Linked DNA regions of Coturnix japonica. The protein of the gene in region 2 interacts with the protein of the main gene of each other region in a pairwise test. Links are inferred from orthologs where the notes say so. Each region holds a gene or a part of one and is shown on either strand. Other genes may lie near its edges. The genes, in order: ATXN1, SUPT20H and MAPK14.

Region 1 (4,313 bases), on a different chromosome or scaffold from region 2:
CCTGCTCGTCATTTCCAGCTGTCTCCAGCCTCTGCCTCTCTGCCACGGTTCCTTTTGTTAAATCAATGAACCTTGCATTAGCTGGGTGAGGATATTTTTGCTGTCTGCCACATGGCTGTGGATGCACCATCTCGTTGCTGAGTGGCACGGGCATCCAGACATCCGGGCCTGCTGCTGTCCCCAGAGTGCTCTGAAACAGGCATTCACTTTGGGTTATGTAGCAAACCTGATCTGGAGAGGTAGAAGTTGCACTGTTAAAATATGCTTGTGCTCATAAAGCCGGTCTATAAGACAGTACCAACTCTCAGTCATGAGCTGTGCAGATTACCATGTTGTTAGCACATTCTCTAGGAAATATAGAGGACGAGTACAGTCATTCATAGAAGGGACTGCTTTGCTGATCTGCATACTGACAGAGCCCTAGGGTCTTTTGCATCCAGACTAACGCTAGATCCAATGCTGAAACACAGCGGTACTACCTGTGGACACACACGTGACACATCGGCACTACAGACATCTGCTCGGAGCTCACAGCTGTGCTGGGGGGGGGGGATTGGAAGAGGCTCAAACAACAGCCCGCTCTGGGCAGCCACGGCACAGGGAGCGCACGTGCTGCTCTCGGAGCCCTTCTGGAGCTGAGACCCAGCCTTGGGGGTTTATGCAGCATTTCGTGTGGTGACTTTGGGATGGGGAGAGGCTTTCCCGGCGCCGTGCGTGCCTTCCTGATGCCAAAGCAGAGCGAGCGGTTCCCTGCGCGGCAGTCGGGTTGCCAGCAAGCAGAGCAGACGCCGTCCCGTGCCTGTGTTCCTCCCATTCATTTATTCGGGGAGAGGCGGGCAGTGGTCTGCGCGCAGCCGGGAGAGACGAGCGAGGATTGTGCCGGAGCGCGTACGAGGAGCGCAGCGGGAGCGAGTACCCAAACATGCGTGGTGCAGCCCTGCCCGCCTCGTAGTGCGGCGACGGAATGAGTCAGAGCCTCTTTGGTCTGAATGAAGTGGAAGGTACTCTCTACAAAGCAACTCGAGCATACGCCAAGGATCCGGAAAAATAAAACTAATTCAGAAAACGGGAGTGGGATGCGGGCTCCTGCGCTACGACGCTTTGAACGGCAAAACGCAATATGGCATCTTAAATAAAATCACCCTCCCCTGACTCTCACGGCGCTGCCTCCGAGCCGTCCCTGGCTCGGGTTTATTTCCTCCCTTAGCGACAGCCCGGCCGAGGCCGCCGCTCCCGCATCCTGGCCCCGCTCTGCTCCCCCCGCTGGGCAGCGCGTCCCTCCCGGTGCCCGCCGGTGCGTCCCTCAGCACAGCGGGCGTCGGGGCGAGGAACGGCCGGGCTGGGGGGGTAAAAAGGGGGGAGGAGGAGGAGGGCGGCTCGGCCCCGGGCGGCCTCCAAAGGGTTAAGGCCGGCGGCCCCGGCGGTGCTGAGCGTATGCAATAATCTGTGTGGCTCTCTTGGCCGCCCGCCAGAGTGCTGCCTTGCCTCCTCCTCCTCCTCCTCCTCCCCCCCGCCCCCCCCTTTCGCGTGAAGTAGGATCCTTGAGCTGTTGCAGAGGCAGCCAACTGCTCCATATTTGGCTTCTATTACACATTTACATACTGGAGAGCGGAGCGGCAGCGAGCGCTGTACTGCAGACATCATTTCTACTACAGCGCCGGAGCAGCCCGGAGCGTGTCCCCGCGGGGGAAGGAGCCCTCACTTACACACACATACACACGCACACATATACACACACACACACACATACACACCCGCAGACCCCCACCCCGGGAGGACGGCGGTGCTCGAGTCTCAGTCCGACCCCCCCCGCCAGCCCCACCTCCACTGACACTTTACAGTAAGTGCCTTTTTCTTCCTCCTCTGCTTTCTGCCCCTCCACCCCCCCCGCTCCTCCTCCTCCTCCCCCGGCTTCTCCCCTTGTTTGGGCTGCGGAGCCGCCCGCGGTTCCCGGCTGGAAAAACACGGGGCTGGGGGCGGCTCTGTGCGTGTATATGTGTGTATGTGTGTGTGTGTATATGTGTGTGTGTGTGTGTATATGTGTGTGCGGGGGGGCAGCGCTGCGGCCCGGCCTCAGGGCCCGGCCCGGGCGGGGGCCGCGACATGGCCGAGGGCAGCGGCCTGGGCCCGGGGCCGGGGCTCGCACGGCCCTCCCGCTCCTCCTCCTCCTCCTTCCTTCTCCCTCACCCCGCCGGCAGGGTGGACATTTTGCGAGCGGCGGCCTCGGGGTGTGTGTTTGTAGCCGGGTGTGTATGTGTAGATGTGTGTGTGTGTGTGTGTGTGTGTGTGGCGGTGCGGTGCGTGACGGGGTGGTGACACGGCCCCTCCGTGTGTGTGTGTGTGTGTGTGTGTGTGTGGGAGAGAGGAGGGGGGGGGCCGCGGCCGGGCCGCACGGCGCATGTAGTAGGGGCTGGGCGGCCGCTGAGGGTGAATGAAGCGAGCGGGCGGCGGAGGAGGCGGCGCTGGGACGGGGATGTGGCCGGCGGCCGCCCCGCGCCGCTGCTGTCGGGGCCCAGGCCGCCTGCGGACAACGCCCGGTACCGCCGCCGGGGGAGCGCGGGCGGGAGGGCCGCGGGGCAGCGCCACTTTAACCCCGGCCGGAGCTCGGGGTCGGGTCGGTGTCGTTCGCTATTACCCCACCCCCACCCCGGTAGGGACGCGGACGCCGCGATCCGCGAGCGCGATTCCTGGGGGTATCGAAGTCTCAATTAAACGCGCTGCGAAACGTCAGCGCCCGCTGTAATAGCGATAAGAACGCGACGGAGCGGGGAGCGCAGAGGAGGAATTACCGAGCGGCACTGACGGAGGAGCAAACAAGTCGGAAGCCGTTATATAATGCGGGGAGCGGCGGCTGGTTGGGCGCCGCTGACCGCACGGAGCGCAGCGCCGGGCCGAGCCGTGTGGGGGGACATCCCGCTCGGTGCCGGGCGCCGCGGGCTGTTTGTCCGTCCGTCCGTGCGTGCGGCGGCGCAATGAGGGCTTTTAATTTCGGTTTCGAGCCCTTCCGCGGCGGTGCGGGCCCGGGCCCTTCACGCAGCCCTTCGGAGACCGCCCGGCCCCGCTCCGCCGAACGATGAGAGAGCGCTGCTATGGCAACAGACAGCCCCGGCCGCTCAGGTGTGCGCGCCGTGAGCCCCGCCGCCTCCGTGCGGGGTGCGGGGACAGGGACGGGGGGAGGCACCGCACAGCGGCTCCGTCAGGGCGCTGCGGGAGCACGGAAACTTTGCCGCTGCTCCTCGCACCCAGCCCGGCTCCGTAGGGCCGGGAATTGTTGGTACCGCTGGGAACGTGAGCAAGGAGCTGTGCGCTGAGGGGCAGCCGGCTTCCTTTGCCCTCGGTGAACAAACCCGAGGGGGCATATCGTATAAACATCGCCACGCGGCTCGTTGCTGATATTCCGATTGATACCACTTTGCGTTTGTGCTCGTTAACATACAGCAGAGAGCGAAACTTTCCGCCCCGTACGGCGTGTTGCCGTGTTGGAGCGGGCAGTGCGGCTCCTGCCCTCCCGGAGCAGCTCATGCCGGCCCTTCCCCTCGTTGCCCGCACACGGGCGCAGGCGTCGCTTCGTGCAGGCACCGAATGTGGCGCTGAGTCGTAATGCCGCGGGCCTGGAGCGGCTCCAGGGGCTGCTTGAGAGCCGCGCACACCGTGTGTATATCTGGGGTAGCTCCGCTCGTTGGACTCCGGCCAGGCGCAGAGCAGAGTAGCAGAGCTCAGGCGCTGATCCGCTGCCTGCAGCCATCGTTTTCCCAATATCTTACCACGGCAAAAAGCAACGTGGGATTTTTTTTGCCCCCTGGAGGTGCCGCGTTAGCCACGTGCGTCCACGCTGCTACGGAGCGCAGCCCGGAGCACTTCGCATCTCGGCGGTGAGAAGCTGCCGGCACCGTGAAGCACACACACAATCACAGCATCACAGAATGACCCGGGTTGGAAGGGACCTCAAGGATCATGTAGTTCCAACCCCCTGCCTGGCAGGGCCACCAAACATACACATTTACTAGATCAGGAGCACCGGAGCTCCCCGGCAGCCCCTGGGCAGTGCACGGTGCCGGCAACTTCTCACCGCATCTCTTCTCCCTGCCCTGCTGTGATTTACTCGGAGAGGCTGAAGGAACCGGTCTTTTATTGTAAGAGACATTTACAAGAGGCCTGGAATTGCACTTAACGAACATTTTTATGTAATAGATCCAGTGGCCTAGTTTCATCTTAATTAAGAAAATAGACGTTAGATGCGCTCACCTGAAAAGCAACTGATTGAAACATTAGGATGCGAAAGTATTGGTCTCAGAGCAAAATGAAGGGCTGAT
Region 2 (3,525 bases):
GCTTTAGTGTTATCCACTCCAAAAGAGGAAACTATGCTAGGCTGACATTAACTCAGGCCCAGTATGATCATTGGTTTGGGGTTATTTTTGTTTCTGGGCTTTTTTTCTATCTCCATTTTAAGGTGGAAAAATATGCCAAAGTGGAAAGTTCTATCAAGCCTGATGACTCGCAACCAACTGTTTGGCCAGCACACGTGAGTAATTTAGGTCTTTGGCCAAGCTCTTCTGTTCCTATTTAATATGTCCCTTATTTCAATAAAGTCTAATGATTACTAACCAATGTAATTAACCTAACGTGCTACACATTTGGAAACATTATTACAGAAACTTGTAGTTTTATACACAACCTCATACATATGATTAGTGTTGTAATTTCCTCAGGTTTACCAGAAACACAATGGAAAGCAATTTTAACCTCCAAAGGTTAAAGGTGCTGTCACTGTATAGTAAACAAACATAAGAATTTACAGGGAGCAGTACTCCAGTCACCAAATCACTTTCTTCATGCAGATGCTGTTTCAAAAGAGATTATGTAATATTAAATACCTCTTACAAAAAGCCCTTTCTGTTATGTTGAAGTTAAGCCTTAAAATTTGGTGCAAATTGCATGATTTGATAAAGAAAGTTCATTTTAACATAATTACTAGCAAATCAGTTCATTAATTCTTTCTAATTAACAGCATCTATCAAATGCCTTTTCAGTCTCATGGCAGGAAACAGTAAAACTTCCTTATAGAGCTTCACTTTCATCTCTGCCATTTTATTTAGAATTCTTGTTTTTGCACTGCTGCTGTTTTTATAATACATTGTACATACATATACCCAGTCATCTGTACAACATCTGACATCATTGCTTTAATGTTATGATATTTATTATTTTCCTCTTTTTCCTCCTAAATTTTGTTTTAGCACAAACATCCCTTCTCATAATTTGTTTATCTTTTGTATTGCATAGGACTGGCTTATTTTACTGGCTCTCTTTTGCTACTGTTTTTGTAATATTTATTTGATCTTTTTTTTTTCTTTCCTGTCTTCTAGGAAGTAAAAGATGATTATGTGTTTGAATGTGAAGTTGGTAATCAGCTGCAAAAAACAAAGCTGACCATTTTTCAGTCTCTTGGCAATCCGTTGTACTACGGTAAAATCCAGACACTCAAAGGTGATGATGAGAGTGACAGCTTATTAGTTCCACCACAGTAAGTTGTGTTCTTTTAATCTGTGCTATGATCCAGCAAATGAGAGGCAACAAACACTACTTAACGTTTTCTGGCATGAGAGCATTTAGGATCTAAAAATCTGATTCAAGAGTTTTTTTTGTTTTGAATATTTCAGTTAATAAACCTCATTTAAAAAAATATGAGGAGGAAAAAAAAGCTTCTATTAACATCATATGTTAAATGTTCTTTTTTAGTAAGTCTGAATGTTCTTGTGTGTTAAAGGTATGTTTTAAGAAAAATCCCCTGTTGAGAAAATCCTTCTTCTCATGCTGCCAGACGTGGTTAGCGTGTATTTCACAATGGCTATCACAGTTTTGATCATTGTGATGAAATCTGCCAGATGCTGTGAAAACATAAGACTTGGTGATAGGATGAGGTGAAATGGCTTTAAGTTGTGCCAGGGTAACTTAAGGTTGGATATCAGGAAAAACTTCTTTACAGAAAGGCTTGTTAAGGTTGGAACTGGCTCCCCAGGGAGGTGGTTGAGTCACCATCCCTGTTTTTGGATGTGGTGATCAGGGACATGATTTAGTGTAGAGTTGTTAGGGTAGTATGGTTAGATTGTGGTTGGACTTGATGATCTTTAAGGTCTTTTCCAACCTGAGCAAGTCTATGATTCTGTGATTACATTTACCTAATTAAGGCTAAACAAATGAAGGCAGTAAACATGAGCTCCCAAAGTTTAGTCCTCTTTGTAATACTGGTTTGAACCTGCTATTGTTGGCTTCAGTTCTTAAAAAGGCTCTCAATTCTTAGTTCTTCTTGTTGTATGTGACACGACTTTGCATGGAGAAACCTGTGCAGCAGAGTAGGCAGGGAGCAGTTAGTCTGTGTAAACTTCAGGTTAATTTAAAAAGAAGGATTTTTATCGTTGTCAGGTATATAATTCCTATATACAGCTCTTTTTGTTAAAATCTAAGGTTCTTCTCTTTCTGTACTTAATACTGATCTACTTAGAACAACAGATCTAGTTTGCAATTGTATAATAACAGTAGGAGTGAGGAGGAGGAGTTGTTTTTTTTCTTAAATTGAAACAGTAACAGAGCTGAAAGGTAGTTTGCAAACCAGAAGCATTAAACTAAAGAAAAAAGCTTGATTTTGGAAAATGGTGGGAAACTGAAATTTGGACATGTGAAATCAAATAATGGAAACCAAAGGTTGAATTCCTACAGATAGGTCTGGTTTTGACATACAGACAAAAGTGCTATATGGGTATTTCTGTATTTCCAGGTTGGTATGTTCATTTATTGTTTTCACAGAAGCAATGCTGTAGTAGTTACTCGCTTCCATTTCTTTTAAAGAAAAAAAGTTCTATATTCTACCTTTTACTTTGTGAGTAATTTGAAGGCATCTGTATTAGACAGCATATGAGTGTTGTACCCATGGTTACAAAGCTAAGTTTTTATGCCAAGTACCAAATAATACCCAGTCCATCAAATAAGTAAAGTATCTCTTGTGTCTGAGAGTCTAAAAAGAGAATAGCATCGATATTCTTTCAGGGTTCATAATTATAAAAATCATACTCTTTTCATGCAGTTCAGCACTTAAAATGTTTCTTACCTTTTTACATTTCAGATTCCTGATTGGTTCCAAGACTGATGCTGAAAGGTAAATTGCACGTACAACAGATATTGTGTATACAACCAGCTGACTTGATGCCAAATAATTCATTTCGTTCTTTCTTGCCATTATGACTGTTTATGTTGTATTTCTGGAAACGTGCAGAACAGATAAACAAAATAAGAATTAATTACTATGAGAATTAGTAGGAGATAGCCTGCAGTTCCCACATTTAATGAGCAAGGAAATAGAGAGGAAAACAAGTGTGCAATATGGCTTGTCCCAATACCTAAAGATTCAATCATGTTGTTCGTTGTTTGCATGGTTATTCTCAATCACTCAAGTAATGATAAAATTCCGAGAGCTCTAACAAAAATTTCCATGTCAGACACTGTTCTGTCAGACTTGCCCTTCTGCCATCTGTCACACAGCAAGGAAATACAGTGGAATATCAATGAGAAGGTTTAGCCTCTACTGCAATACCACCAACATCTGCCTCTGATGTCATGGGCCAACAATAGAAGTATTACTTTCAGAGCAGCCCTTGTAAAACATATATGATAGCTAACGTACAAATGTAACAAAACTTATTTTAATCTTCAATATTTTGTATAAAAACATTACAAAAAGAGCAACAAAACCAAAACTAGTGGGATATTTGTGAAAGTAATGCATCAGTCTGGTCCAGTGTAAGCAGTTGCCATTCTTAGTGAGCTCTTAGGGTGTTCATCAGAGACCTTTGAAGTTT
Region 3 (4,266 bases), on a different chromosome or scaffold from region 2:
ACTACTGCTCAGATTAGGTAAGATGTAAGTTCCCAAAGTGAATATTGAGTAAGAAGTCCAGTGAAAGAGCAGATCTAATCCAAAGTTCTCATACTGACAGCTGAGGTAGAAAGAAAACTCAAATCCAGAGTTACCAACTGAAAGTACAGAGACAGCATAGGAAAAAGGCCATGCCATGCAGAAAGGCAGTTTTTAGCTATTGACAGAGGGAAAAAAAGGAAAATGAGAAGCATGAAAAGGCAGTAAGTGAGCAGAAAGTCATCAAAACGCAGTATAAGTAACAAAACCTGGAGGGAAATAAATAAATATGTTTCCTGAATGGTTGGGATCCCTTTGTACAAGTCTGGCGTTTCACATCACTGAGATACACCACTTCTAATAGAGGAGCCTGGCAGCCTCCAGGCACAGCCACCAGCACACACAGCCCAGTCATTCTAACAGCAGCAGGCAGCCCGCAGGCACGTTCGATTCCTAGTGAATGGTTTGTTCCTCTTTTTAAAAAGGAGATACACAAAGGCCTTCCAGAGTTTAAGAGACGTTTTGTTCATGAGCTCTGCACACCCAGTACAAGCTGCTGTTTGAGCAAAATCACCTTTTTTCAAGTGAAGGTAACACAACAAAAAAAGTTAAAAAGAAACTTGAGTTCCAGCTGTACCAGCTCAGCTCCCCAAGCTCTGTGAGACCCCCAGAGGGAACGGGGCTTGGCCTTACTGAGGGCTGTGGCAGTTCAGCCCAGGCCTGCTGCCTTAGGTCATCGTTCTCATCAATGTGCATATTTTGCTTAAAGTACAGCGTCAAGGTGACAAGACAAAGCCTCGCGAAAACGGCACACGGACTGTGGCGCCGTGACATCTCCCTGCGTGAGCACAACCCCCTCACACACCGCACTCGTGGAACACTTGAACGCAGCGAGCCCGCCTCTCGCCTCGGCCCGTTCTCGCGAGAGCCCCTCCGCGCCGCTCCGCATTGCCTCCATATTGGGGCATCTCTGCCCACGGCGCCTCAACTCTCGCGAGAACGTCTGGACTGAACCCTAGGGCCGCAGTGGGGAGCGGGGAGGCGGAGCGGCCGGGTCGGCCCAGCCCGAGCTGCTCCGCTGGGGGCGGGACGGGGCCGGGGCCTCGTCTTTGCCGTCCTACCTGCGGCCGAGTGCCTCCCCCCGGCCTTCCCTATCGGCCGATCCCTCCCTCACCTGACAGGGCAACCCACCCCTCGCCGTGCGGAGGGAGAGAGAAAGGGAGAGCTGTGTGTGCGGGGAGGGGGAGGCGGCGGCTGAGAGGAGGGGACCGGGGAAGGAGCAACCGCCCCGCGCGAGGGCTGGGCCCGGGCAACGTGAGGCGGGGGGGCGCGGGGCGGCGGCCAACGGTCGGTGTGAGGAGAGGGCGGTGTGAAGGGGCGGCGTGGGAGGAGCGAGGCGGGGAGAAGGGAGGAAGGAAGAAGGGAGGGGAGGAGGAAGGAAGGAAGGAGGGAGGGAGGGAAGGAGGGAGGGAGCTCTGCTGCTGCAGCTGGAGGTGCTGCCGCAGCCGCGGGCACCGCCGCCCCCTCCCGCCGGGCCGGGCGGGGTGGGCTCCGCAGCCGAGATGTCTCAGGAGCGGCCCAAGTTTTACCGCCAGGAGCTCAACAAGACGGTGTGGGAGGTGCCCGAGCGCTACCAAAACCTCTCCCCGGTCGGGTCCGGGGCCTACGGCTCCGTCTGGTGAGTGGCGGCTGGGGGTGACTCCGGGCCGGGTTCTTCCCCGGGCACCGCTCGGCCCCGGGCGCCGCTCCGCGCCGTTCTCCCTCCGCCGCAGCCGGCAGCCCCGAGCATTGCAGCATAGGGCAGGTGGCACCGGGACATTTTTGCAGGGGAAGATAATCGCGTCCCAGCCCCCGGCGTGATCTCATTTGGGCATATTTCGCGGTGCCTTCTCGCAGTTGGGAGGTGGGGGTGGAGAGGATGCGGGCTGGCAAGGCCCCGAGCTCCGCAGAGCTCTGCTGGCTCAGTTTCCTTCTCGACCCGGAGGATGGATTATGAGCCGGGGGCTGCAGGGAGCTGCTGCGTCCCCGACGCCTGGCAGGGGCTGCAAGAGCCATTTTAGCGGCTGTGTGCGGTGAGCGCGGCGTGCGCTGCCTGCAGGAGCAAAGCCTGGGGTCAGCGTGCGGGAATAAGGAGAGCTCGGAGCTGTGCTCGGTTTTTAATGCTTGCCTCGTTGCATCGCGTGCACCGCTTGGGATTTCTCTGCAAAAATGTATTGGATCGTGAAATGTAAATCAGTGGGGCTGATGACATCGCTTAATCGTAAAGATGAGGTTGTGTCTGGATTGACGTTCCGACTTGAGCAGTCGCTTAGAGGTTTATATAGCAGCATAGGCTGCTAAACGATGTTTTTTGCTCTGTCAGTGTGATCCGAGTTCTCATACGGGTGTGTAACAACTGTACATCTGTTCTGCTTCTGTCTCGGAGCAGGCGTGCCTATTTTTTTCGTTAACATAATGTACAAGTTTATACCATGACTGTCATTTATATTTTAAGGAGCAATGCATGCTGACCTCTATCAGAAAAAGGAGTTGCTTTGTGTGTGCTGCAGTTTTAAAGAAGTCAAGTTCTCTCCTGTTCTGCTGTCAGGAACCTCTGCTGAAATAACACGTTTCTTAAAACTGCCGTGTCCCAAGTATGTAAATGCTTGTATGTCATAGAAGACAGAGCCTAACCAGTTACAGTACCACGGGTAGCCAGTATATCTTCTGATTTAGTCAGTTTTTTAATAATTAAAGGGTTTAGTTCTGGTGAAAGAAAGGGCTCAGTGCCCCAGCTGATAAATGCCCCTTTAGCTGCTGTGGTTACATAACTCCCTCGGTGCAATAGGAAGTGGATTTACTCCATATCTGCTGTATTCAGGCCGGCCTTATGCAGTGCATGCAGCCCGTTCCTCTTCTGTTCTCCACCTACCCATGGTCTGTTGTGTACTTAATGCTTCCAATGTTTGTTTTCACAACCAATTACTGAAGACTTTGCATCATGAATTTCCTGTAATGCTGCCTCCGAACTTTCAAAGATTGTGCAACTGTGTTCGGCCTGGATGGATCAGCTCTGCTTTGGAAGCAATTTCAGATGTACGGCATGTGCATCTTAGCATAGCTTTTTTCAGGGTTTTCTTTGTGTCCTACCAAAAACATCTTTCTGAAGAAGTACTGCTCAGACAGACAAGTAATAGTGTGCATGTATAATTAACTTCGTAATGTAAAGCTCCAGACAGTGATGTGTGGCATTGAGGGCATTCCTAGCATGGCTTGTTCCACTCTTTTCCTTTAGAGAGATTCTTCCCTCTTCCTTCTCCTGCTCTGGGAAGATGTTCCTGTCTTTGTTTCAGACTTGGAGTTTGAAGTGCCCTCTGTTTTGGGACAGCGAACTGCAGGGCTTTAATCAGCCTTAAACAGAGTGCATAAATACACTCCTGTATGTCTACAGCACTGTTAGATTAGAACATAATGATACACTTTATTTAGGTGTCCAGATGAGAGATATAAAAAGGGGGACTTTCTAGAAAGTGGAGGAAAAATTAACAAAAGAATTAAGCCTGCAAATGAATCAATTAGACTGTGCAGTGTCTGCTGCAGTCTGCTTTAAATGTCCATCTCAACTTGGAGCACCGTGGTAGAAAGTCCTGACTGAAGTTTTTGCAGTCAGTGGATGGAGAATGTTGTTCTATGCAGGCAGCCAGAGCGTGTCCTTAGTGTTGGAGTAAGTGTTCTTGTGTCTTCTGGTGCACGGTGAGGATGTTCAAACAGCCAGCTCAGGTATTTTTCAGTTTTTTTGTTTTGTTTTTTTTTAACTGAAAATATGTGGAAATTAAAGTAGGGCTTTGGTGCTAAAATGCCGAGAAATGTCTATATGGACTCTCAGATCATTCATCACTAAGCCATGTTAACAATTGCAGTGACATCTGTTGTGTGAAGTGATAATGCCTTCTTGCCGGAGTTTTGCGTATTCATCTAAGTCTTCTGCATTACAAGAATTCTGTCTAAATCAGTAACAAGGTCTGCACTAAAACATGCGGGTTACTGAAATGTCAGTCCTGCATACTGTGTGTGAGAGAGGGGTTGGTGCAGCATCTTGCAGTGGGAGCTGCTGGGCTGCCTGGGATGGGTGAGCAGTGAGTTGTGGTTCAGCAGGGGGTTGGCAGCTGCTGGTGTCTGCAGGCAGCATTAGTTCACCCTTTGTAAGCAAATGGGTGCTCTGATGCTTGTTGCAATTAGCTTATAAAATGTGAAGGCAAATTTGGTGTG

The links.
Region 1: the proteins of SUPT20H (region 2) and ATXN1 interact in binary tests that used the Homo sapiens proteins (3 or more experiments, as listed by UniProt). The link is inferred for Coturnix japonica from reciprocal best matches to the Homo sapiens genes SUPT20H and ATXN1.
Region 3: the proteins of SUPT20H (region 2) and MAPK14 interact in binary tests that used the Homo sapiens proteins (3 or more experiments, as listed by UniProt). The link is inferred for Coturnix japonica from reciprocal best matches to the Homo sapiens genes SUPT20H and MAPK14.

The regions. Positions count from the first base shown.
Region 1 is NC_029517.1:67,238,641-67,242,953, forward strand, and holds the start of ATXN1 (ataxin-1), read left to right. Parts: upstream 1-1,500; 5' UTR 1,501-1,840; intron 1,841-2,370; exon of another isoform or gene 2,371-2,614; intron 2,615-2,645; exon of another isoform or gene 2,646-3,117; intron 3,118-4,313. UniProt on the Homo sapiens protein: Chromatin-binding factor that repress Notch signaling in the absence of Notch intracellular domain by acting as a CBF1 corepressor. Binds to the HEY promoter and might assist, along with NCOR2, RBPJ-mediated repression. Binds RNA in vitro.
Region 2 is NC_029516.1:154,070,790-154,074,314, forward strand, and holds part of SUPT20H (transcription factor SPT20 homolog), read left to right. Parts: intron 1-122; coding exon 123-194; intron 195-1,038; coding exon 1,039-1,196; intron 1,197-2,792; coding exon 2,793-2,825; intron 2,826-3,525. UniProt on the Homo sapiens protein: Required for MAP kinase p38 (MAPK11, MAPK12, MAPK13 and/or MAPK14) activation during gastrulation.
Region 3 is NC_029541.1:520,334-524,599, forward strand, and holds the start of MAPK14 (mitogen-activated protein kinase 14), read left to right. Parts: upstream 1-1,451; 5' UTR 1,452-1,580; coding exon 1,581-1,696; intron 1,697-4,266. UniProt on the Homo sapiens protein: Serine/threonine kinase which acts as an essential component of the MAP kinase signal transduction pathway.